Regions from separate parts of the Mus musculus genome. Here regions 1, 2, 3, 4, 6 and 7 are each reported to be linked to region 5. The links are microRNA targets in miRTarBase. Many come from high-throughput screens and were not tested one by one. Region 5 holds a microRNA gene; each other region holds the end of a gene's coding sequence. Distances are from middle to middle.
The links. The annotated mature microRNA mmu-miR-223-3p reads UGUCAGUUUGUCAAAUACCCCA and lies in region 5 at 2,115-2,136, shown strand. An mRNA with a match to its seed (bases 2 to 7 or 8) in the 3' UTR can be bound and repressed. Matches are read on the target gene's strand: a 7mer-m8 pairs with bases 2 to 8, a 7mer-A1 pairs with bases 2 to 7 and ends in A, and an 8mer does both.

Region 1 (3,069 bases), not on the chromosome of region 5:
TTTATCCATGTCTGCTCCAAAGAAACACCACACTTAACTGTTCCTTTTCCTCCTCTTTTCAGCAATTTCCTGATCAGATCATAGGATTTGTACCTAGAAAGCACGTCTCTACTTCCTCCGGGATCTACAGTTACGGAGGCTTTGAGCTGCAGACACCGGGGCCCGGGAATGGCGACCAGTACTCCATGGTGCTCATCGGAGCCTCCTTCTTCAACAGCAAATACCTGGAACTCTTCCAGAAGCAGCCTGCAGCCGTCCACGCGCTGATCGATGAGACGCAGAACTGTGACGACATCGCTATGAATTTCCTCGTCACCAGGCACACTGGCAAGCCTTCAGGGATATTCGTGAAACCCATAAACATGGTCAACTTGGAAAAAGAAACCAACGGGTATTCCGGAATGTGGCACCGGGCGGAGCACTTTCTGCAGAGATCCTACTGTATAAATAAGCTCGTTAACATCTACGACGGCATGCCCTTAAAGTACTCCAACATTATGATTTCCCAGTTTGGTTTTCCGTATGCCAACCATAAAAGTAAAATGTGAACCGGAAACAAAGACAAGCCCAAAACACCGCGCTGGGTTTTCAGTGGCTTCTCCATGCTGTGTGTTTTTGGTTTTATTTTTGGTTTTTTTTTTCAAGCAACACTATGAACTTTTATCTAGTCCATAAGTCTCTATAATAGAAACAAAAAAACCATATGCGGTACTTCTAGAATATAAAACACATGGACCTTCAAAAGCCAAGAAGTTGGCCTTACCGGGATAGGATTTCCTGTGAAGAGCTTTTGTCCAAGATGGTGACATTATTGTTTACATCTCGAGACTGCTCCTCAGTTTGTTTGAGCCCTGGCATTTGCCTCAAGGCCCTACAGCAAGCTGCTTCCAGAGACTCACAAGAGACAATTTTCAGCTTTTCGGTGAAGGTCGATTGTTTTTATTTGAAGCCTGAAATGCCTGCGGTATAGGGAAAAGCCATGTGAGGAGAGTTTAGTCTGAACTCAGTGTTGAGAGCCAGGAAAATTCCTGGTTGCCGGTGTCTTTCTGGTCCATCTCACAGAACTGACTGAGCCCAGCACGGTTCTAACGAAGCTGTCAGTGCTGGTGTCTCTGCTGTTACGCCTGTTGGTGACTGGGAGTGTAAGTTTTCATGGCTGACTGTTGTTTAATTGGTTTTTATTGGTTTGGTTTGGTTTGGTTTTTGTGTGAGCCTACTCTGCATGGATCACTGAAATGTGCCAGCCATGTTTCTTATATGTAACTTGTATGCAACAAGGAATCAGTGTGTCCCTGTAATCTGTCACCGCATATGACCTTGAGAATCTACATTAGTTCTTATATTTTACAGAATGTGTTGAATAATGAATAAATATGTATAAAAATAACTTCTGGAAGAATGGTTAAGTAGAAGCTAGCAGAAATAAAAAACTTTAGTATCAAAGATCTTTATTATTAAAGCATAGGCTACCTTGTGAGTATTTAATAACTGTATTGCACAAAAATGTTTCCATACAGAACCCAGGATTTTGTTAGGATTTTTTTTAAGTCCCAATTCATGACGAAATTTCAATTACATGGTTGTTGAAAATAAAAAGGACTGAGCCATCATGTGAGAAGGCAGTGGGATGCTCTCAGGAGTTCACTGTTCCTACCACACACCTCTCGCTGTGGGAGCCAGTGTCTGTGTCTTGCCTGCTGTCCTTTGGTTTGACCTTGTTCACCACTACTGAAAAGAAATAATCTATCAGGCCTCTGTGTATCACTTTTCTTCTTCTCTTCATATAAGGCGTGAAAATAGGAGAATACTGACCACCCAAGTTCCACTGCAAGACCTTCCCGCCGTCAGTTCAGCGTCTGTTTGTCTAACAATGTATGTGTGTGTCTTAATGCAATCAGAAATATATTTCATTTGATCCCATTAAAACTTATGTCAGTTACATGCTTTGTCCACATTTGGTAATACACTTTTGCTTCTTGGTTGTCCACATTTGGTAATACATTTTTGCTTCTTGGTCATCCACTGTCAAATAAATAAACGTCAGCTGGCCACTGTGTTAATAACTGAGCGGGTGCTCTGGTGACGTGTTCCGTGTTTCTCTGTACTTGGCAGTACCACTCACTGTGAAGCTGAAAACTTGATGTGTTCACCAGGAATAAGTTTCCTATTGGGAAGATAGCCCTGTGTTTGATTGAAAATTTTAAATAACCATGTGAATTGTACTATTTTCTCTCATATTATGAATCATCAACAAAAATACTTTTAGGTCTATATAAGAAAGATTTCTACACTGTGGCTAGACCTCCTAAGACCATCTTTCCATGAAAACCTTTTACTCGTACTCCACATGATCCAAAATCACTTGTGCGGGCTCAAAACTACACCTGTGTAGCAGTGTAGCTCAGGAGTGAAGCCTACAGGCTCTGCTATTAGACTCCGGGACGAAATCCTTGCCAGACATCACATTTGAAGAGCCCCTGTTTGTCAAAATGTGATTGTTTTATATATATCCTAAACGTTGGAAAACTAAGGACAGGTTAATATTCATAGGTTTTATTAAGAATTGGTTTTAAATAATAAGAGAGGTGGTATGTCTGACTAGAGTCATACGTCATAGTCATAGCGGCTTCCCCATTTCAGATGTTCAAAGCGTTAAAGCTGTTAGGTTGCTCTAATGCTAGAAAACCCAACATCCACAAAGGGAGATACGGAGAGCACTGTCTGTGCACAGTACCCAGGAACCAAAGGCTTGTTCCTTGTTTTCATTCTTTATATACTTTCCCCCCTGTGTTTTGTTTTGGAGACAGTTTTATCCTTTAATGTAGGCTGGCCTCAAACTCAAGGCCCCTCCTGCCCGAGTCTCCCAAAATGCTGAGATTAGAGACATGAGACATCATCACACCTGGCTCTTCACATTAAAGCCACAGTACGTATGTATTCTATCAGTTTGGACACATTTACAGCAGTGTAAAGAAATCAAAGATCACCCCTGTAATCCCAGCACTCAGATGGCTGAGGGAGGAGAATTCCTGTGAAGATCAGCCCTGCTACAGAGTAAGACCCTCTCTC
Region 2 (3,070 bases), 75 Mb from region 5:
TTTCTGAATGAAGAGTCCTGGAATCTGTCTTTTAGATATCTTATATCCCATCCTCCTCACACATCCACAAACCCCTGAGCCAGAACCCTTAAAATCCAGATTTCTTTGACTCCCTATATTCAGAATGTTCCTAGACCCCAAACCCTTCAGAAGCCCCCTGAACATTCTGAGTGTCCAACACTCAGGCCCTTTGTGCTTCTCAAATACCCATAGTCACCCTGAATTTGGGGTCTTGGAATTCATAACACTCTAGGTCTTAAATTCTCACACAATTCTCCGAATTTAAGATCTAGAACCTTCCCTGTTCTTAGATACCAGGTCCAGATATCAAGTATTTGAGCTTTGAGTACTACATAAGTAAGTCTACATAGACTTATTTATGCCCCAGACTCCTACAGAAATGGAAGTTTCCCCCAAGAAGTAGTGCTCTGCATTTTCCCGAATCTTAGTATTTTCTGAGCTTATGCCCCTTAATAACTCCAGACTCCTATTGTTCTGGGCCATACACACCTACAGTCTTTGACAGCCTTAATATAAATCCCTCTCTTTTATCAGCAGAAAATCCTCCCTAGTCCTCAGGGACACAGACTCCTCTGGGCCTTAGTACTAGACACCTCTAGTCCTCAAAAATTAACCTAACATATATTTTAAGATTCATAGATCCCTGGGCCTCCCAGCTCAAACCCCAAATCAACCCATTCCTCCCCACACACCAGATCATCTTTATGGTGGGCCGTGGCTATCTGTCTCCGGACCTCAGCAAAATCTTCAGTAATTGCCCCAAAGCCATGAGGCGCCTGCTGACTGACTGCCTCAAGTTCCAGCGGGAGGAGCGGCCCCTATTTCCCCAGGTGGGCTGGGTAGGAGGGCTGGATACCTTGGGGAGATGCACTGTGAGTAAAGAGATAGAGGCAGATATTGAATGTGAACCATGTTGAAAGCTGGGGATTGGGGATATTGGAGTATCTCTGGGACTCTGGACACCCCTCTTCATCTCCACCCGCTCCCAGATTCTGGCCACGATCGAGCTACTGCAGCGGTCACTCCCCAAGATTGAGCGGAGTGCCTCCGAACCCTCCTTGCACCGCACCCAGGCTGATGAGTTGCCTGCTTGCCTTCTCAGCGCAGCCCGTCTTGTGCCTTAGACCTCACTCCCAGCCCACCAGGGAGCCAATTTCAGCATACCATGCCAAGGCACACCGACCTACCAGCCAATAACTGTTCTGCCTCTGCCTTGATACTGCCTCAGGATTCCCTATCCCATACCCTGGGAAATTTGAGGGACCCCAAAAACTGAGGTCTCCTGCTTTCTCCATAATTTGGTCTCCTCTTGGGTTTGGGGATAGTTCTAATTTGGAGAGCTGTTTTATCTCCAATGGCTGTGACTCAGTGCAAGGATTCCACTCAGAACCTCTTTCTAAAGTTTTTGCCTGATGTGTCTTCACTGGATTTTGGGGTTCCCAGCACCCCATGTAGATTTGGGGGTTTCTTTTTGTCTCCCCCACTATTCAAGGACTCTCCTCTTTACCAAGAAGCACAGAATTCTGCTGGGCCTTTGCTTGTTTATTTTGCTTCCCGACTCTTCTCTTGGGGGTTCAGAGCCGCTGAGGGGTGGGGCAAGTCCAGGCAAGGAGTGGAGGTTGGAGGAAGATGCAGACCACAAAAACAGTGCCACTGTACGCATTACCACAGGCGGCATGAATGAGGACCACATATGCCAAGCATGGCACAAAAGGAGGCCAAGTCAGTCACAGATAAACACATTGGCAAAGGTAGGGGAGTGGGAGACCACAGGCCTTCCTTGTGCAAAGGATTCTGAGGATGGGTGGAGTTTGCATATTTAAAGACAGCTGTCAGAGGCAGGAAATTGGGGAGGGGTTTCTGGAGGAGGGAACTTAGGGGTCCTAGAAGTGGAAGGAACTTCCAGTATATTGAATGGGATGGAGAGGAAGAGGTGAAGGGAAGTCCTTGAGGGACTGCTTGGTGGATGGTAGGTGGCATTTGAAGATGTGGATCTCCAGAGAGATGACCTATGGAAGAGGTTTAAGGATAGGGGCTTCTTATGGAATTGGAAATTTCTGATTAGGAGCAAGGTGTGTTGGAGAGATTCAGGACCAAGAGTAGAATAGGGTTTTTCAGGAATTTCAGAGCTCCAGGAGAGGATTCGATGTATTAGGTCAGAAACAGGTTTTCTGCCATTCAGGAACTTTCAGGGAAGAAATCACCCTTTAGATGTACCAGAAGTAGAGGTCTTCAGGAGTTTGGAGGTTCTCAAACAGATCTGGAGGTGACCAGGAACAGGATTCTAAATGGACTTGGGGATTCCCAAATGTGAGAACTGGATTTAGGACCAGGTTTCTCAAGGGACATACTGAGGAATGAGAAGTGGGCTCTAGGAGAACCAGGAGAGGGGTTCTCAAGGGATTTGGAGGTTCCAAAAGTGAGAAATGGACTCAGGACCCAGAGAGGGCTGTCTAGGGGTTTAGGGGTTCTCAGAGTGGGATGTCAGTCGGAGAAGAGGCTGGCGAAAGACTTCCTCAGGCTGCGGATGGTCTCAGCTTTCACCTCGTCCTGGCTAAGGCTGGGCCTGGGAGGGGCTGGCTCTGGAAGGTTGAAGGCATTGGTCAGAGACTGGGATTTGCTAGAGAGAGACAAGGTGGAGGCATGGGAGGAAGGGGGAAGAGGAAGGGGAGGAAGGGAGAGAAACACAATGTTACCCTAGGCCCAGCCCCAGCCCTGCCCCTCTGATCCTGAGGCTGTGCCTGTGACCTTCCCACCCCCAAGCATGCCCCTGAACCCTGATGGATTCTCAAGGGTGATGAAGCTGAGACTGAGGCGAATGTGGGGTCAGCTGAGAGGACTTAGATATAAGATAAAGTGGTGTGGTTTAATGGGAAGATTCCTTGGTCAGTTTGATATGGAGGATGAAAGGAGGGGTTCCAGCAAGGAGCCTAGGAGGAGCCTGGGCTAGGGACAGTCTAGTATGAGGTAAGCCAGTCTGAGGGGGAACAGATGGGGTGGGGGTGGGGGCCAGGGAAAACTTTGGAGCTAAGGGCTAGGGGAATAGAAT
Region 3 (3,082 bases), not on the chromosome of region 5:
CACCATACCCACACCTTTTTACATAGGACTAGTTAAGTCCTGTGAGAATTCCTGCACACACAGGACAGAGCCGCTGTTTTATGTGCAACTGGAATGTGGGTCCACACACTGGAAAGCTGCACTAGAGCTCTGCTTGCTGAGGTGCTTATGAAAGAAGTTCACACCTGAAGTTCACTCTAAATTCTCTGGAAACATACAAAGCAAACACGACAGAATGGTAACTAAAGGCATCAGGTTTGCCGCTTGCTTTGTTTTTAAAGAGTGCGGTGCTGAGGACTGAACTTGGGGTTTTGTGAATGCTGGGTAAGTGCTCGGCCACAGATATACTTTCAGCCCTAGAAGAATTGTGGTAAGCTGAATGTGGTGGCCCAAGACTAATCCCAGCAATTGGGTACAGAGCCAAGCAGGACTCTGTAGGTTCAAGATTAGCCTGGTCCACACACAAGGACCTGAACATTCAGGGCTACATTGAAAGAAAAAGAAAACAGAAAAATCCTGGGTCTATATACACATATGTTCTACAGAGGTCGGTACTGAATGTCTTCTCTTAATCGCTCTCCAGTCGTGTTTTAAGGCAGGAGCTCTCACTGAGACCAGATGATGATTCAGCTAAACTGGTTGGCCCACATGGCCACAGAGAACAAGCCACTACACAGCCTCTGCCCGTGGCTTCTTCATCAGCTCCTCCTTCCAGGCTCCTGCCTTTAATGCTGTTGATGATGGCCTGTGATGTGGAACTGTGAGTGAAATAAACCCTTTCCTGCCCACGCTGCCATTGGTCATGGTCTTTCTTCACAGCAGCAGTAACCCTAAGCCCGATGCCTATGAAGACACATTAAGACCTGACAGGCTGTGAATCACCTAGCTGGGCACAATGCCCATGACTTACAGATGTGGGAACTGAGGACAAGAAGTGCAGGCCACCCACTACACATCTGCATCTTGTCATCCCAGGGACACACACATCCTGTCAAGCTTTCACCTGGCCGTATCAGGCTGCTCCTGACCTGTTCCTCCTGGAGCCTCTACCCATGGTACAGGGCAAGTGTCCAGCCTTTGGCTCAGCATTGCCCCCACCTCTACCCAGCAAGACACAGAGAAGAGTCGCTTCGGTCCTTTATCTGACTCACAGGCCTTACACACACTCTACCACTGCTGGTTGAGTGCTAGAGGGTGGGGCATAGACACATGAACAGGACAAAAATGAAAATACCACACTGTATGGGTCAGGGGCAGAGCAGAGCAGGCCTTAGCCCAGGGTCACATTCACAGCTCAGGGTAAGTGCAAATGAATGGAATGTCAAGACAGTGCATGAGGGCTGCTCCCTTCTGAGCACAAGCCTCAGAGAGGACCCAGAGCCATGGCTGCCCTCTCTTTACTGCATCCTGCTGACCCTGGGGAACCCTTTTCCCTTCCAGGGAGAGGAACTTGGTTCCAGGAGCCAGTGCTCAACTCCAGACCAGGAGTCTTTTCTCCTGGTGTCACAACCTGGAAGGGATGGAACAGCCAAATAAAGTATTAAGGCAATAAATAAAAACTTCCCAGCTCAGGCAAAAGGAGGGCTGCCAGGACTACTGCAGCTGCCGTGACAAATGCCAACTGTCTGCAGGACGTGGGTGGTGGCAGCCCCAAAGCACGTGTGCATGGAGTTGAAGGCAAAGTGCTGAGTCCAGCTTCCTGTCAGAAAGGGGAAGGGGGAGCTGCCCGCTGTGCAGCCCATGCCCACCCTGCCATGGTTCCGTGCTCACTTTTGGAGCAGTAGATGGGCCACTGTGAGCTCTGACTGGGGCCCAGCACTGCCCAGGAGCTCCTGGCTCACCAGAGAGCAGGAAGCGGCCAGTCCTGCCTCCTCCATCTTTGGTGACAGAGGGGATAAAAACAATCTTTGGCAGGGTGTGGGAATGTGGAGAACAGCGCCAAGGGTTTGTGAAGGGTGAGTACCTGCTCAGATGTGAGCACACATGGGGCAAGCCCACCTCTGGATGGCCCAGACATGGCTTTCCATACTGGCCAGAAGCCTAGGTGCTGGGACTTAATGTAGCTATTGGTGGCTGCTAATTGCAGGACCCTGTGACTGTCACCACCTAGCCCTGTATGTTCTATCCCTCAACTATCCCTTGCCCTCCCTCAGCAGCAGGGGGGGACTGGGGTTCTGTGGTCCATACTCAAGAGCCATTTGCTCCCACACCTTTCTCTCTTGCTACCTGCCCCTGGCCAGTCCCTGCTGACTCTGGCCTGCCTCTGCTGCTCAGGGAACCCCAAGGGCAGCTGCTATCAGTGCTTCTAGTGGTTCCTCTCCATGGAAATTTGTCCCCTGGGTGTTGGGAATTCCCAGGTGAGGAAGTGGAGCAAGCTTAGGGGCAATGGCCCTTGGCCACCATGGCCCTTGGATACCAACCCAAAGGAAGGGAGTGGCAGCTTTCTCTCTCCTATCACCTTGTATCTGAGGCCCAAACAGCCACCTCTCCCCTCCAGCCCATCCCCTGTTACTGCAGCTCTTCCAGGGGCCCATTTTCTCGAGGCAGTGGCCCATTCAGCCCGATGCTACTAGCCACAGGTGCCCCCAGGTAGCCCAATAGAATCTCGCTGCGCCGCCGGGACAGCTGTAGGATGTCTTCTGCTAGGGCTGGCACAGATGTGTAGCGCACGTTGTCCAGGTCGAACATGTCCCTCAGGTATTGTACAATCTGGTGCTAGGGGTAGGAGACTGGTGTTGGGTTTGGGTCCTGAGACATTTTCTACATTCTACAAAGTCCCTTTCTCAATGACCAAGCCCCAGCCCACTCTCCCAGCCTTAAGCAACTGCCTTCCTGGGCTCATCCTATAGTGGTCACCTAGAGCAGCCCGGGTCCCACCCCTCTTCTGGCACTGAGGGGTGTCTGCAGTAGCAGGAAAGCAGGAGTGTTGTCATGTACCTTGAAGAAAGCACAGACTTCCGAGAGCTGGGGCTTGGGTCCGAGGAAGCCAAAGGCCAACACAGGGCTAACATGCTCCGATACGGAGTAGAAATGGGAGATGAAGCCATCAGGCACCTGTGGTGAGTGGCAGGGCTAAGGAGCAGGTTGGGGTTGGGGATCAGGG
Region 4 (3,082 bases), not on the chromosome of region 5:
GATGCTGGTACTCTTCCATCTGTCTGCTGCCTGGGACAACACAAACATCTCCAGATACTGCTAAATGTACTCTTGGAAACAAATTATCCCTACCCTCACCAGAGCTCTGTAATAGAGGGTGGCCAGGGTGGACGGTGCTGGGTGGACGGTGCTGAGTGGACGATGAGCTACCTCTCCTGGACTCCAAAGGGTAGTTGACTCTGAGGTACATATACCTATAGACTCACTGCTCAACAATGCACAACCAGCTTCTAAGCCAATAACTATATGTACTCCTGCTACTAGGTCAGCTGCAGTCCCCGAGGGGGAAAGTACCCTGCCAGAAAGTACGGTTCCTCTGGATTATGCGAGTTGGCTGAACAGACAAATACTCCATCTCTGATTTGGGGAGTTTTGCCACAGCTAAGTGAAATTATCTAAATTGTGGCTCTGTGTGTCCTTGGGTCACAATGTTGCTCTATGCCTGTGGGTCAAGGTCAGAGTGAGAAAAAAATCACTGGCCGCCATCTATTGAACAGCTGGCATACTTAAGCTTGGACAAAACAGAACCAAAATTAAAAAAAAAAAATGGGCAAAGAAAAATAGGCTTTGACCCCCAGGTTGTGGTGCAAACTGTACAACTAGTTGAGACTGGAATTAGGGGAGCAAGCAAAGGGAGAAGGTCCAGCCACTGTAAGGACAAGAAGTTACTCATGATATGAAAGTGACAAAGCTGTTCAGCCACAGAAGGACAAAAAAGAAAACAGCATATTACAAAACTTTTTACAGGCACCAGCTGACTTAAGAGCACTGGCTGCTTTCTGGAGGATTGGTTCAATTCCCAGCTCCCCACATGGAGATTCACAGCCACTTCTAGAAGCTCCAAAGCCCTCTTCTGGTCTCTGCAGACACCAGTCGTGGTACACAGCCGGCCCATACAGGCAAAATACCCAAAACACATAAAATAAAATTAAAAAAAAAGTTTTAATCCAGGCAAGGTAGAGCATGCCCTTAATCCTAGCACATGGGAGGCAGAGGCAGGTAGATTTCTGAGTTTGAAGCCAGCCTTGTCTCAGATCAAGTTCCAGGATAACTAGAGAAACTCTATTTCAAAAAAGACACACAAAAACAAAACAACAACAACAAAAAAACCTAAAAAACAAACTAACAAACCAACCTCTCCCCCCACCCCCGTAAAAAAACAACAAAACAACAAAACCACCACCACCATAAACCCTAAAGAAAAACAACCAAACAAAACAAAATAACCATTAAGCTGGGCAGTGGTGGCGCATGCCTTTAATCCCAGCACTTGGGAGGCAGAGGCAGGCAGATTTCTGAGTTCGAGGCCAGCCTGATCTACAAAGTGAGTTCCAGGACAGCCAGAGCTACACAGAGAAACCCTGTCTCGAAAAACAACAACAACAACAACAACAACAACAACAACAACAACAAAAAAAACCAACATTAAAACAACCCTTTTGCAGGTATGGTATTGTACACTTTTAATCCTATCACTCGAGGCAGAGGAGGCAGAGGCAGAGGCAGGTGGATCTCTGGTCTACAGAATGAATCCCAGGCCTGCTATGTGTGAGTGGGTGGACGGAGGAGAGGGGAGAGAAAAAAGCAAAACAATCTAGATGAAGTGCTTTTATTCTTAAGACAACCAAAACTTTTAATATAAAACCTTTTAATATACACACTGCAATCACAATAGCATACATGTAGCAGCAAGGGAACTAAGGGCTTAGGATAGAGGTGGATGGAATGGGAGTTTTTCAGGTCAGCCTGCCAAACACCTCCTTTATCCCAGAGTATTTGGGTATAGCATGAGAATGAACATGTGGTCAAAGCAAACCCTGATGACTCTATGGGGCCAGAATGCATGAAGCAGGACCTCCAATATACCTACCTAGGGCAATCCTCTCAGAAAGCCAGGCTCAGTCAGGAGATGAAAAGGTGGCTGTGACCAAAGTACCTGACATCCCTCATTGGCCTGGGGAGCTCACTTTTGCGTTTTGTAGTACTAGTTAGACTGAATGTCCTAGACACTCTGAAAGGATAGCCATTGTATTGAGCTGGCCTTCGAACTAGGACTTCTTCCTTGCCTAGTCCCCAAGAACTAGAGTTGGAAGGAGTGATAACCTCTGGCCAATGCTAGCCAGACACTGCCCAAGCAAGCCTCACAGAAGGTGGTGTTCAGAAAGCATCTCATAGAAACTGATAATATATAAAGAAAAATGACGCATAGAATGAGCAATACAAGTACCTGCTTTTTAGAGGTCAGTAGGTCATAAGTGAGATGATTCTTCTGGACCTGGATGGAAGAGATTGGGGCCCATTGTTTTTTCTTGGGGCTGACAGATCTGGAGACAGCTGGTGGTCCCCAAATCCTTGAGATGACCAAGCATGTCTGACTGAGGGCTTGTAGGTCCCCTCCAGGTGTGCAAGGAGACTGCTGTGGTCCTACTGAGCTCTACCTGGCTCCCCTGTCAGATGCAATCCATGGAGTTCTCAGGGAGGAGGCCTGGGATGCAACTAGGGAGGCCCAGGCTTTTAACAGGAGTGCAACTGAGGGAAAGGCTGAAGTCCACATTGGGGTCCTGGTTTTCTATGGCTTCCAGACTGTCTGGATTGTTGTCCCAGTTGATATGGAATCGGGTCACCCGGGGGTTAGAGGCCAAGATGTTCCGCTGTAGCTGTAGTAAGAAGAAGAATGTCAGCCCTTGTCACCTAAGTGTTCATTATTCCCTCAAACCTCCACTTTGAGCCTGAAAGCAGACTCAAGCACCCCTGTTGCTCAGATGTAGAACCCTAGAGATACTTGAACACTCTGGGTAGGAATAGGGCCTTCTCATCCTGGGTTTGCTTAGCTTTGTTCATTTGGTTTTGGGTTGTTTTGAGAGAGGGTCTCAACTATGTAGCCATGGTTGGCCTATAACTATATAGATGAGGAGGGCCTTAAACACATGAGATCTGCCTATATCACCCCAAGTGCTTTAACCCCCGCCCCCAAGTACTGGGGTTAGAGATATGTATTACCATGCCTGGCTTATTTGATTTAAAAAAAAAAAACAAAAAAACTTTGTATATGGGTGTTTGG
Region 5 (3,082 bases):
GCAGGTGACTCTCCTTATATTGAAAAAAATCTGGATATTAAGACATGGTCCTGAGTACTTCTTTATCACCAAATATATTTTCTGATATGTGGCTTATTCTGGACATTTATAGATTTTTGGTAAAATCTTATACCTCTTTTACCAAGCTTATGCCTTTCAATTTGCGTCATGAAGACTGACTATGTAGTCATCTATGTCTTCATTCTTATGGGTCTGACTAACTTTAATCAACTAAACTTGCTTCTCTTATATGTATTCCTCTGAATAGGTGTGAACTGGAACATCAAGAATGAAAATGAAATAGTCCCTTACCCAGCTTAAGGACTGACTTCTCCATCAATCCTGGAAAACAGTATTTATAATAATCTATTAAGTCAGTGCACTAGAACTCTTTAGCCCCTTTCATGGCTCTTTTCCAGTGTTCTTGGGTTATGTGAGGTCGGATAGGGCAATTGAGAGGCTATGGATATCTCTAAAGTGTCTAGCTCTCCTTACAGCAGATGATAAGCAGAGATGCTGTCAAGAAAACCAAAACCAATAACCCATTACTCCTTTCTCTTTTAATCACTTTCCTTGGCTTTTACTAGCTCCAGAGTTGGAAATAAGGTCTCTTTAAGCTCCCTTCTAAAAAGCTCTAGAAGTCTCATCCAACATTTTTCAAGACCTTGAGATGTAAGATTTCTGTCTCTATTTCTAGAGAAGACAATTGATGCCCAAGAAAACTTTAAACCTGGGTAGGACAAAATTTGATACTATCAAGCATTTTGAATAACAGGATCATGATGCTAAACAAAATATCAAATAAATTGAGATGGCTTGGCTCTTCTGGCAGCTGCCCTGGTAGCTATGAGTTCAAACATCTTAATACTTCCCTGCAAAATCCACTGCCTGTTTTGCTCTTTGTTGCTGTTGCTCTCCCTTTTGCAAGGGAATATAAAAAGCAGACAAGAAAAAGTGGTGGGGTGGACAGCCAAGGGACACAATGAGCTGATGGATGATATAATTCCCAAACTGTAAACAACTTGTTTTATGACCTTTTGGAAGTCTTTCCCTAAACATCAGACTTCATTTTCTCATTTATAATCTTGAATGGGTAAAACTAGATGACTTATAAGGGCATTTTAATATCATTAATTCTTTACTGCTTATGAGAAAAGGCAACCAAGTTAGACAAAGCCGGCTAAGGCCACAAGAAATTACTGTTTCAATTCTGTTAAATAAATTATCTATCTTTTCCCCTGTTAGTATCTATCTTATATGTTTAATTTTAAAGCACATTTTAGTCACTTTTATTTATGTACAGGGGATCAAATACAGAGTATTGTACAAGTTAGGTAAGTGTTCTGCTACTGAGTTTTATCTCTAGATCTTGATTGTTTACTTTTTTGTTTGAGAAAGGGTAGTATTATATAGCCCAAATTGACTTTAAATCTGAGGTTCTCCTATCTCTGTCTATGAAAGCTTGTATGCACACATGTACTATCATACCTGGCTATAGCCACAATTTTTGAGTATTTGTTAGGTAACAAACACTAAATTAATGGCTTTATATGCATTATTACATATTCTTGCCATGATTTCATGGGCATTTTTGTGGCTATGGAAGAAGTAGGTTTCAGGGACATAAACTCATTTATTTAAGGTGTTCAGCTAGTTAATGGTAGAGGTAGAATTCAAATCCAGTTTTAAAAATCAACATCTAGGTACATAACCAGGGTAAACAGAGCATACAAGAAGTTGATAGGAGGAAGGAACACATAAATTGTCCCCGAGGACAGAATGATGACAATTTTTTCCTGTTTCAGCTGAATAGAAGAGTTAATTGAGGCTTGGGCCACCAGAATCTCCAGACAAACACCCAGGATCCCCGTTTTTGTTTGGAGCATTAGCGTGTTTTGTTCACTTCCCTCTTTTGGTGTGTCTTAGTCAGTCATGTTAGTGTCTGCCATTTGTCTCACACTTAGGGTAAGATATAATCACCCTATTTTTTTCTCTTTCCAGTTGCACATCTTCCAGCATGTTCTTGCTGCCCAGTGGAGGTTCCTGATCTGGCCATCTGCAGTGTCACGCTCCGTGTATTTGACAAGCTGAGTTGGACACTCTGTGTGGTAGAGTGTCAGTTTGTCAAATACCCCAAGTGTGGCTCATGCCTATCAGCTCCAGGTCCAGGACAGAGCACATAGCCTGCTGCCTACATATGAATGCTTATGAAACATGAAGCTCTCTGGTGTTATTCTATGTCTTTAAGGGAACTATAACATTTATTCAGAGAACATCAGAGTAGGAACGATGCAGCTCTGGGGTCTACAAGTCTGGTATGCATCTGTGTACATTGTGAAAATGCCATGGACTGCATAGTGGTACATGAGGGATACAGGGAATGAGAGTATTATTTGATTTATTATTAATGTCTTCTTTCACTTTCCTCTTCTTGCAGCCAGAATAGCAGAATTTTCATACAAGCATCATGAATTCTATGAGAAAGTAGGAAATAAATATCCACTGTCTGGCCTTCGGAGCACATCTTAAGCTACCTACATTTTCTCTTTTCCACTTTGCTTTTATCATTCTTAAAAGAACCTTCTTGTTTATCTTCATTGGGCTTTCAGACACTACCAAATTCCAATTCCTCTTGGCACTATTGAAAGTTAACCTATACTTTTCTTTACTCCTTGGCTAACCACATACTGGTATGTGCTATTATATGTCCTACCATCCAACACATCTTCTAAAGTTGTCAGTGAATTTTTCCAGGGTATGTTCTTGAATTCCCTATTATATTGTAAGAATCTAGAGCTTATTATATTCAGTTGATTGCTGTCTCTCATACCATTGTCCAACATTTTAATTATTAATAAATATTTACCAATTAATTGATGTTTTACTAGTCAATAACCTTTTGCTATATAGGTCAAATACCAACCAGGGTTTTGCGAAAAAAATAAATCAAACTGTGGGTATTCTAATGCTATAGTGTATACAAGATGGTAACCAAAATGGATTTTTTTTTCCTCTGAGAAATAAGATTTAGGTCTGGGGCAGGAGGGCAAGAAGAAAGAATAGACTCAGAGGGAAAAATTTT
Region 6 (3,082 bases), not on the chromosome of region 5:
TGATAACATAATACTATGTGGTAGAAGGTTATGCCTAAGTTAAACAAATCATTAAATCCCCAATATTCTTTCAGTAGGCAAAAGGAACCTTTAAAAGTCAAACTTGCAAGCTGTAAGAAGATGTAGAAAGTCATTTAAACTTTAATGTCTAGAACAAGTTTTACAGCACATTTCTAATTTACACATAGAATGGAGATCACTGAAAGAGCTTAGTGGGGTACTGCAGCAAGCAAGGCTCACCTGGGAGTCACCAGATTCCTTCCACAGTCGGCTTGTTACAATGAGCTTGTTACAGGTCCTTAATGTCAGACAGTACACGTTCTCAAAATGAGTACGACCACTGCAGTATGCTAACAACTGTAGCAATTAATGTCGTATACATACTTAGCTTTATTTTAAAGTATGTGGCTCTCCAAGTGTTAGTACAGGAAGTGTTAAGTTTAAACATAATAATAAGCCCCCAAGATGGAGACTCAGGACATAAAAACTTTGATCATTATTGCACCTATTTCTCTACACAAAAATGGAAATTTTACATTATAATCCTCCCAAAAGTGAACAGGCGGGTTGTAAAATTACAGGCTCATTGGCATTGGACACAAACAAAATCTACAGTGACCATGTCTGTAATGAACTGATGCACAGCATTAATGTGCAATGAAATCTGGTGAACTATGATCATGCAAATAAAAATCCTCCATAATATTTTTTTTGTTTTATAAAATGGTTTTAAACATATATTTCCATAAATATTTCCAATGAAGTTTAGTTGATGACAAAAATACAATGCTATCCTTTATTACTTATGCTGTAAGTTTAAAAACATGCTTCTGTACTGTTGAAATCGAAACATCATTGTCTGGAGAGCTGAGTTAATGAAACATTTAAAATACAAAGTATCATAACCCAGCCTTAGCTGTCCTCACAGGCAGAGGCCTCCCATCACCACGGTGCCAACACTGTTGCAAATGAAGAAAGTTAAACACTGAAGGATTAAGACACAATTCAAACATCTTTTAAAAAATAAAGTGTTTCATAAACATGAGGAAATATTAAAAAGAAAAATAATCACATCATTTGCGATACATACTAGAAAATAGCATGATGTCATTTCTAAAATAGTCACTTCTTTATAGCATCCCAATTTATTATATCCAATTTTGGAAACATAAAGGTGTACTATATGAAACTGCTCTGTTAACTTGATATAGTAACTTGGTAACTCAAAATGTCATTTTCTTTTCTACTGTTAACAATTGTGCAAAACCAACCCTGCACCCGTAAATCTAAAGTTAATTCAGGTGAGCATAAGGTAGCAACCAATACATTTTGGTTCATACTCTATGTAAAGGGCACTGCCTTGATAATCCATTTTTAGACTTTGCAGACCTCTAAATTAAACCCAGGCAAATTTCCATCTTTCCTATTCTGGATGCAGTGGGACTCTCTCAGTGTTTGTGAGTGTGACGCCTAAAGTCTCAGCCCAAACTAGATAAATCACTGCCACCCAGTACCACCACCCCCACCAAACAATTTTTTTTTTGGCTCCAAAATAAAGTACAATTATAAACTCTTGATGAAAAACTATGTTAGGGGGTCATCTATCATATACTATGGCTAAGTATGAATTTACAGAAAAGCACATCTCATGATCAGCAATTTTTCATAAACATGCAACTCACTATAAAATACAAAACACTTGGCTTTCAAGAACAGATTTATAAAGATACACTGCATCAATAAAATTTTTTGTTTCTGATTAACTTTACATGGTTATGGAGAATGAGAACTTTCCTAACGTGTATATATCAGATTTTATATTATAGTGTAATAATTTGCATTTCTGAACATAATGTTCAAGAAGTAATATCTATACACAATAACATTCTAGACTATTAAAAGCCCATTCAAATTACAGAATTTTATTGATACAGTAGATTAATATAAACTGAAAAAAGATGATAGAATGGAATAAAGAATTTAGTACATTATTTTATAACACACTCTTTAAAATTAAAATATTTTAAATCTCTTTCTTAAAATTTTCGTTGCCATGAAAGGCCAGAGAATTCTGGGACCAATACTGAGGTGTGAAGTCATCAGATAAGCTCAGGACTATCTCACAATCCATGTCGTGCCCCAGACAGAGGCATGTTCTAGTGTGCTGGCAGATGCTTTAGCACCTCAGAAGACAACAGTGCCCTGGAGTAAACATAGATGAGCTACAAAGAGGGGCAGGAAGAAACCATTTAACTCCAACAAACAGTGACATTGAGAAAATGACACCAATTGTTGAAAACAAATTTTCACAGTAAAATTGCAGAGAATTCAAATACAAACACTGACAGACTACGTACTGCTTAAGATCCACCCTAGCAAATGCTTTTCAAATGAACAGATCCGGTAAGCAGCTGGGTCCTGTCAGTTTAAAGCCGCAGATAAAAGCTATACAAGCACTTTAGAAGTCAGAAATGGGGGAGTGGGATTATTTACATGTGTCTTCTTTAGTTTGTGTCTACACAGCCATCACACAGGACACTTTCACAAGACTCTGGAGTCAGTGTTATCACTGTGTGGATGGCTGATACGTGTGACCACAAACCCATGGTCATCCGAAGTCCAACTGTCCACGCTTTGGCAGTTCTGGTTTGTGCATCCAAGGCTTTATTTAGCCTCATATTTAGACAAAAAATGTTTTTTCCCCCCAAAGCTTTCACAATAGAAGTTAATGACGTGTTCATCGTCTCTCTCGTTTGGAGCTTCGCCGTCGTACCTGAAGAGAAAAGTCAACAGATGACCAATGTGAACACATCCGAATTTAGCCTAAGTACCAGCCATCATTTTTAAAACAATCTTTATTCTCACACATTTCTGAATTTCTTTGTATTTCTTTTCCTAAAACTGTCCTCCTCTTCTTCCTATCTTCAGATATTAAGGCCTCTATGGTATCTACATCTGGACAAGCCCATAAGCAGCCTTTTCCAGGCCACAGATTATTTCCCTTCTGTATTCATGTTTAGAGTCACTCACAGATATAATGCAGTGTGCACAGGTGAGTAACGACTACTCTCAGTGCCATCGT
Region 7 (3,082 bases), not on the chromosome of region 5:
TGTTCTGCATATCATGGCCATGCTCCCTCAGGAGGTCTGTGAACCCCTCTACGTGCTGGCCTTGGAAATCCTTACCTGCTACGAGACTCTAAGCAAAAGCAACCCTTCTGTCAGCTCCTTGCTCCAGAAGGTAGACGAGCAGCGCTTCTTAAAGTCTATCGCCAAGAACATTAGCCCTGAGGAGCGGCGCCAAACCCTGCTACAAAAGATCAACAACTTCTGACCTGTTGAGGGCAGAACAAAACTATGCCTCCGTCCACCGTGGTGTTTCTGCAGGGCCCAGAGCTAAGAACAAACAAAGTTATAAGAACGTACACAGTGAAAGGAGTACAAGAGCAGTGTAAAGAAATAGTTTTCTTAGATATTTGTCACATACTACTTAAATAAAATTCTCTTGGGTTTAATCTTATCTTGAGCCTTTCTCAGAAGTTTGGGCTTAAATATGCTCCAAATTAGGTTTAGGTAGTCTTTAAGATCAAGTCAAGCCAGTAGGACAGGTATGGGAGTGTACACCTGTAGCATCAGCCTTCAGGAGGCTCAGGCAGAGGGTGGCAACTTGGACTGCATAGGAATATCCAAAAGTTAAAAAAAGGCCAGCTGGAGAGGAACATGTTTGTAACTGAAATTCTCCACCTAGTTTTGGCAGTAAGCCCAAAGTTGGAGCTACCGAGTGGGGGGTAAGGGGGAGGAGAAACGTTATATGTTCTTTTTAGTGACATCCTCGTGGAGTCTTTTCAACTAGGCTTGGTAGAAGTACATCCTTATAAGCCCAGCATTCGGGTAGCTGAAGTAGAAGGCTCAGTTCAAGGCCAGCCTGGGCTACTAGCAAGCATTTTTGTATTCCATCTTCTTACCAAGGTTATCTCATAAAGGGCAGATGTGGAAAGGGGCTCACTCAGCGCTGGTTGACTTGTGCCAAAGAGGCCTGCACCAAGGAACACTGTTAAGGGGGTAGTAACCATCGCCTCAGCACATCCGGGAGAGGTGCTAAGCCAGGGCTGCTGAATAGCTGGTGCCCTTGGAGGGTGGCTATAATTACCTTCTTCCTGGGGTGAGATTGTTTTGGTTTTGATGACTGAGTGGCATAGGCAACAATACAGAAGCATAAAAATGAAAGCATAAGGTTTCCAGGGCAATGTTACACAACTCTTAGAACTGGTTAGGGGAGGTATCATTTAGGGAGGTGAGAGGAAAGGTCCCATCACCTACTTACCCACACCCTCATCTAAAATGGTTTACTCCTCTGGTACTCTTCTCCCACCTAATGGAAACTGTGGTCAGCAGGCAGGCAGGCAGGCAGGCAGGCAGGCAGGCTTCCACCCTCCCAACTTCTAGTTGGGATCCACCAGAGGAAGGAAAACCTGAAGTTAAATGTGAGCACTGAGCGTGAACTCTGGGCACCTTCCGTGTATCCTTTGGTACTTTGAACCAACATGTTGGACTATGAGTAAGACCTGCCTAGAGGCCATTTGCCTTCCGTGACCAGACTAGGAATTACCGAAAACGGTAGTCAGGCTGGGTCTCGGATGTTTGGGGAATTCGGCGCCAGGGCACATAACAAATAGAGAATTTAGTGCAATTTAATTACTATATGGATGACTTGTGGATACAGTAAACAGAACAAAAAAACACAAAACAGCATTTTTTATGTTTTTTAAATGGCACCTATTAAAGACTGAAACTCAAAAATTGAGATGCAACCATCCAGTCCTTTAGAAGTCCATGGACAGTGAATTATAAGGCACTGTAGTGTTTTTGCTGCCACCTGAAGTAGTGGCAGCAGGTCCTCTCAACCCCAGCCTGTGGTGAGAGATGATCTGTGCTACACCACATGCTACAGCACACAGCTAACAAACAGCACTGGTCCACAGGACATGCTCTGGCTCGTCTGGCTTCTCTCTCCTGTTTTCAAGCTTTCTGTGGCTAGAACATTCAACACAGAAATGGGTCTGTCTTAGCAGGAAGCACTGGCCTACAGGACACCTGGAGAGCAGACGTCTGTGTCCATTTTGTATGAAAGGGCAGTGTCAGTGTGGGATTACCCAGTAAGCTGCTATAGAAGCCATCACTCCACCTTGTCCCTGGAGTTTCAGGCCAGTTTTTGGTGTGTGTGGACACAGAAAACTGGTCATGAGAGGCCATGCTAAAAAGGAGAAATGGTGTAGGTAACTGCTTTCAAGAAGCTCACAAGTTTGATACTGGTCTTTATACAAAGCCTGCAAAGATGCTGGCCTCTGCTGGCCTCCTGACCTACTCAAGTGCTTCAGGTTCTCAGCCCTGCCTCCTGCCCATTGTCAGTGAGCCCTTCTGACTAGAAGTCAGCAGGCATGAGAATTCATTGTTGATATACAGATAAGGACAAGGGCTGTCTAGTAAACGGTAAAAGACATACCCACGATGTCTTTCCTAGTATTGGAAAATGACACAGTTTCAAGAACCAAGTTGTCACTTGCTTCTGACCCAGTATGGGTGTTGCCGGGTGTTGCCCTGAGTGGGTGGGAAGGGGAGAACAGTGCTTCACCTCCCAAAACTCTTTCCCAGGCCCAAGGAAGGCTCCTCAGGCTTGCTGGTAAAACTACTGCAGTGGGGCTTTGACAGGATCCAAGTTATCACCAGAAAACAAAACAAAAAGTGCTTTTGCAAAAGGCTGGTTAGAAGGAGGAGGTAATGGGGATTTTTAAAAAAGAAGACCAAAAATCCAGAGGTTTATCAACATCCAGAAGGCAGAGACTACCCCAGGCATGATTTGGTCCTTGGAATACTGAGGCAGCTAGTGTGAGTGCCTGACCCCTGAGAGTAATTAACCATCCTTTTTGGCTTTGGCAGTGTCAAAGAGCCGGGCCGCCTTCTTGCACAGCAGTGAGAACCAGTAGAGCTGGGGAGAGATGAGGACGGCATTGGCCATGTTGCAGTGTAAAGGGATATTAAATGGCACTTGGAGCAGGCTTAGTCCTTTTTGTTGGCCATAGGACCAGTACATGAATGGGAACAGAAGGATCCGGCAGAACAGAAAGGTGGTCACCGTGAGGATTCCATTGACCTTGTAAAGAAGCGTATGCTGCTGCTTTAGCTGTAAGAGAAA

Region 1: the mRNA of Extl2 is a reported target of mmu-miR-223-3p. Seed matches in the 3' UTR shown: 7mer-m8 at 1,063-1,069.
Region 2: the mRNA of Syn1 is a reported target of mmu-miR-223-3p. The part of its 3' UTR that is shown has no 7-base or 8-base seed match.
Region 3: the mRNA of Miga2 is a reported target of mmu-miR-223-3p. The part of its 3' UTR that is shown has no 7-base or 8-base seed match.
Region 4: the mRNA of Asf1b is a reported target of mmu-miR-223-3p. The part of its 3' UTR that is shown has no 7-base or 8-base seed match.
Region 6: miRTarBase lists Pds5b as a target of mmu-miR-223-3p. Seed matches in the 3' UTR shown: 8mer at 2,420-2,427.
Region 7: miRTarBase lists Tlcd3a as a target of mmu-miR-223-3p. Seed matches in the 3' UTR shown: 7mer-A1 at 2,293-2,299 and 7mer-A1 at 2,026-2,032.

The regions. Positions count from the first base shown.
Region 1 is chr3:116,026,951-116,030,019 of GRCm38, forward strand. It overlaps Extl2 (exostosin-like glycosyltransferase 2), which reads left to right. Exons shown (of 5, transcript NM_001163514.1): 5 at 63-2,066. The coding sequence ends at 548. Among named protein-coding and RNA genes, the nearest start is that of Extl2, 20 kb to the left of the region's middle.
Region 2 is chrX:20,858,969-20,862,038 of GRCm38, forward strand. It overlaps Syn1 (synapsin I), which reads right to left. Exons shown (of 13, transcript NM_013680.4): 13 at 1,543-2,641. The coding sequence ends at 2,506. Araf (Araf proto-oncogene, serine/threonine kinase) reads left to right here. Exons shown (of 16, transcript NM_009703.2): 15 at 717-851; 16 at 1,011-1,553. The coding sequence ends at 1,145. Among named protein-coding and RNA genes, the nearest start is that of Mir5617, 2.7 kb to the right of the region's middle.
Region 3 is chr2:30,383,541-30,386,622 of GRCm38, reverse strand. Miga2 (mitoguardin 2) reads right to left here. Exons shown (of 16, transcript NM_001242407.1): 15 at 2,917-3,033; 16 at 1,104-2,694. The coding sequence ends at 2,488. Among named protein-coding and RNA genes, the nearest start is that of Dolpp1, 7.2 kb to the left of the region's middle.
Region 4 is chr8:83,968,730-83,971,811 of GRCm38, reverse strand. It overlaps Asf1b (anti-silencing function 1B histone chaperone), which reads right to left. Exons shown (of 4, transcript NM_024184.2): 4 at 1,617-2,678. The coding sequence ends at 2,472. Among named protein-coding and RNA genes, the nearest start is that of Prkaca, 2.7 kb to the left of the region's middle.
Region 5 is chrX:96,240,770-96,243,851 of GRCm38, forward strand. It overlaps Mir223 (microRNA 223), which reads left to right and starts at 2,048; the gene lies at 2,048-2,157. F630028O10Rik (RIKEN cDNA F630028O10 gene) reads left to right here. Exons shown (of 3, transcript NR_030718.1): 3 at 269-2,873.
Region 6 is chr5:150,807,504-150,810,585 of GRCm38, reverse strand. Pds5b (PDS5 cohesin associated factor B) reads right to left here. Exons shown (of 35, transcript NM_175310.6): 35 at 1-2,773. The coding sequence ends at 2,738. Among named protein-coding and RNA genes, the nearest start is that of Gm36447, 5.9 kb to the left of the region's middle.
Region 7 is chr11:76,207,898-76,210,979 of GRCm38, reverse strand. Tlcd3a (TLC domain containing 3A) reads right to left here. Exons shown (of 5, transcript NM_027773.4): 5 at 1,563-3,070. The coding sequence ends at 2,801. Gemin4 (gem nuclear organelle associated protein 4) reads left to right here. Exons shown (of 2, transcript NM_177367.3): 2 at 1-409. The coding sequence ends at 223. Among named protein-coding and RNA genes, the nearest start is that of Tlcd3a, 7.3 kb to the right of the region's middle.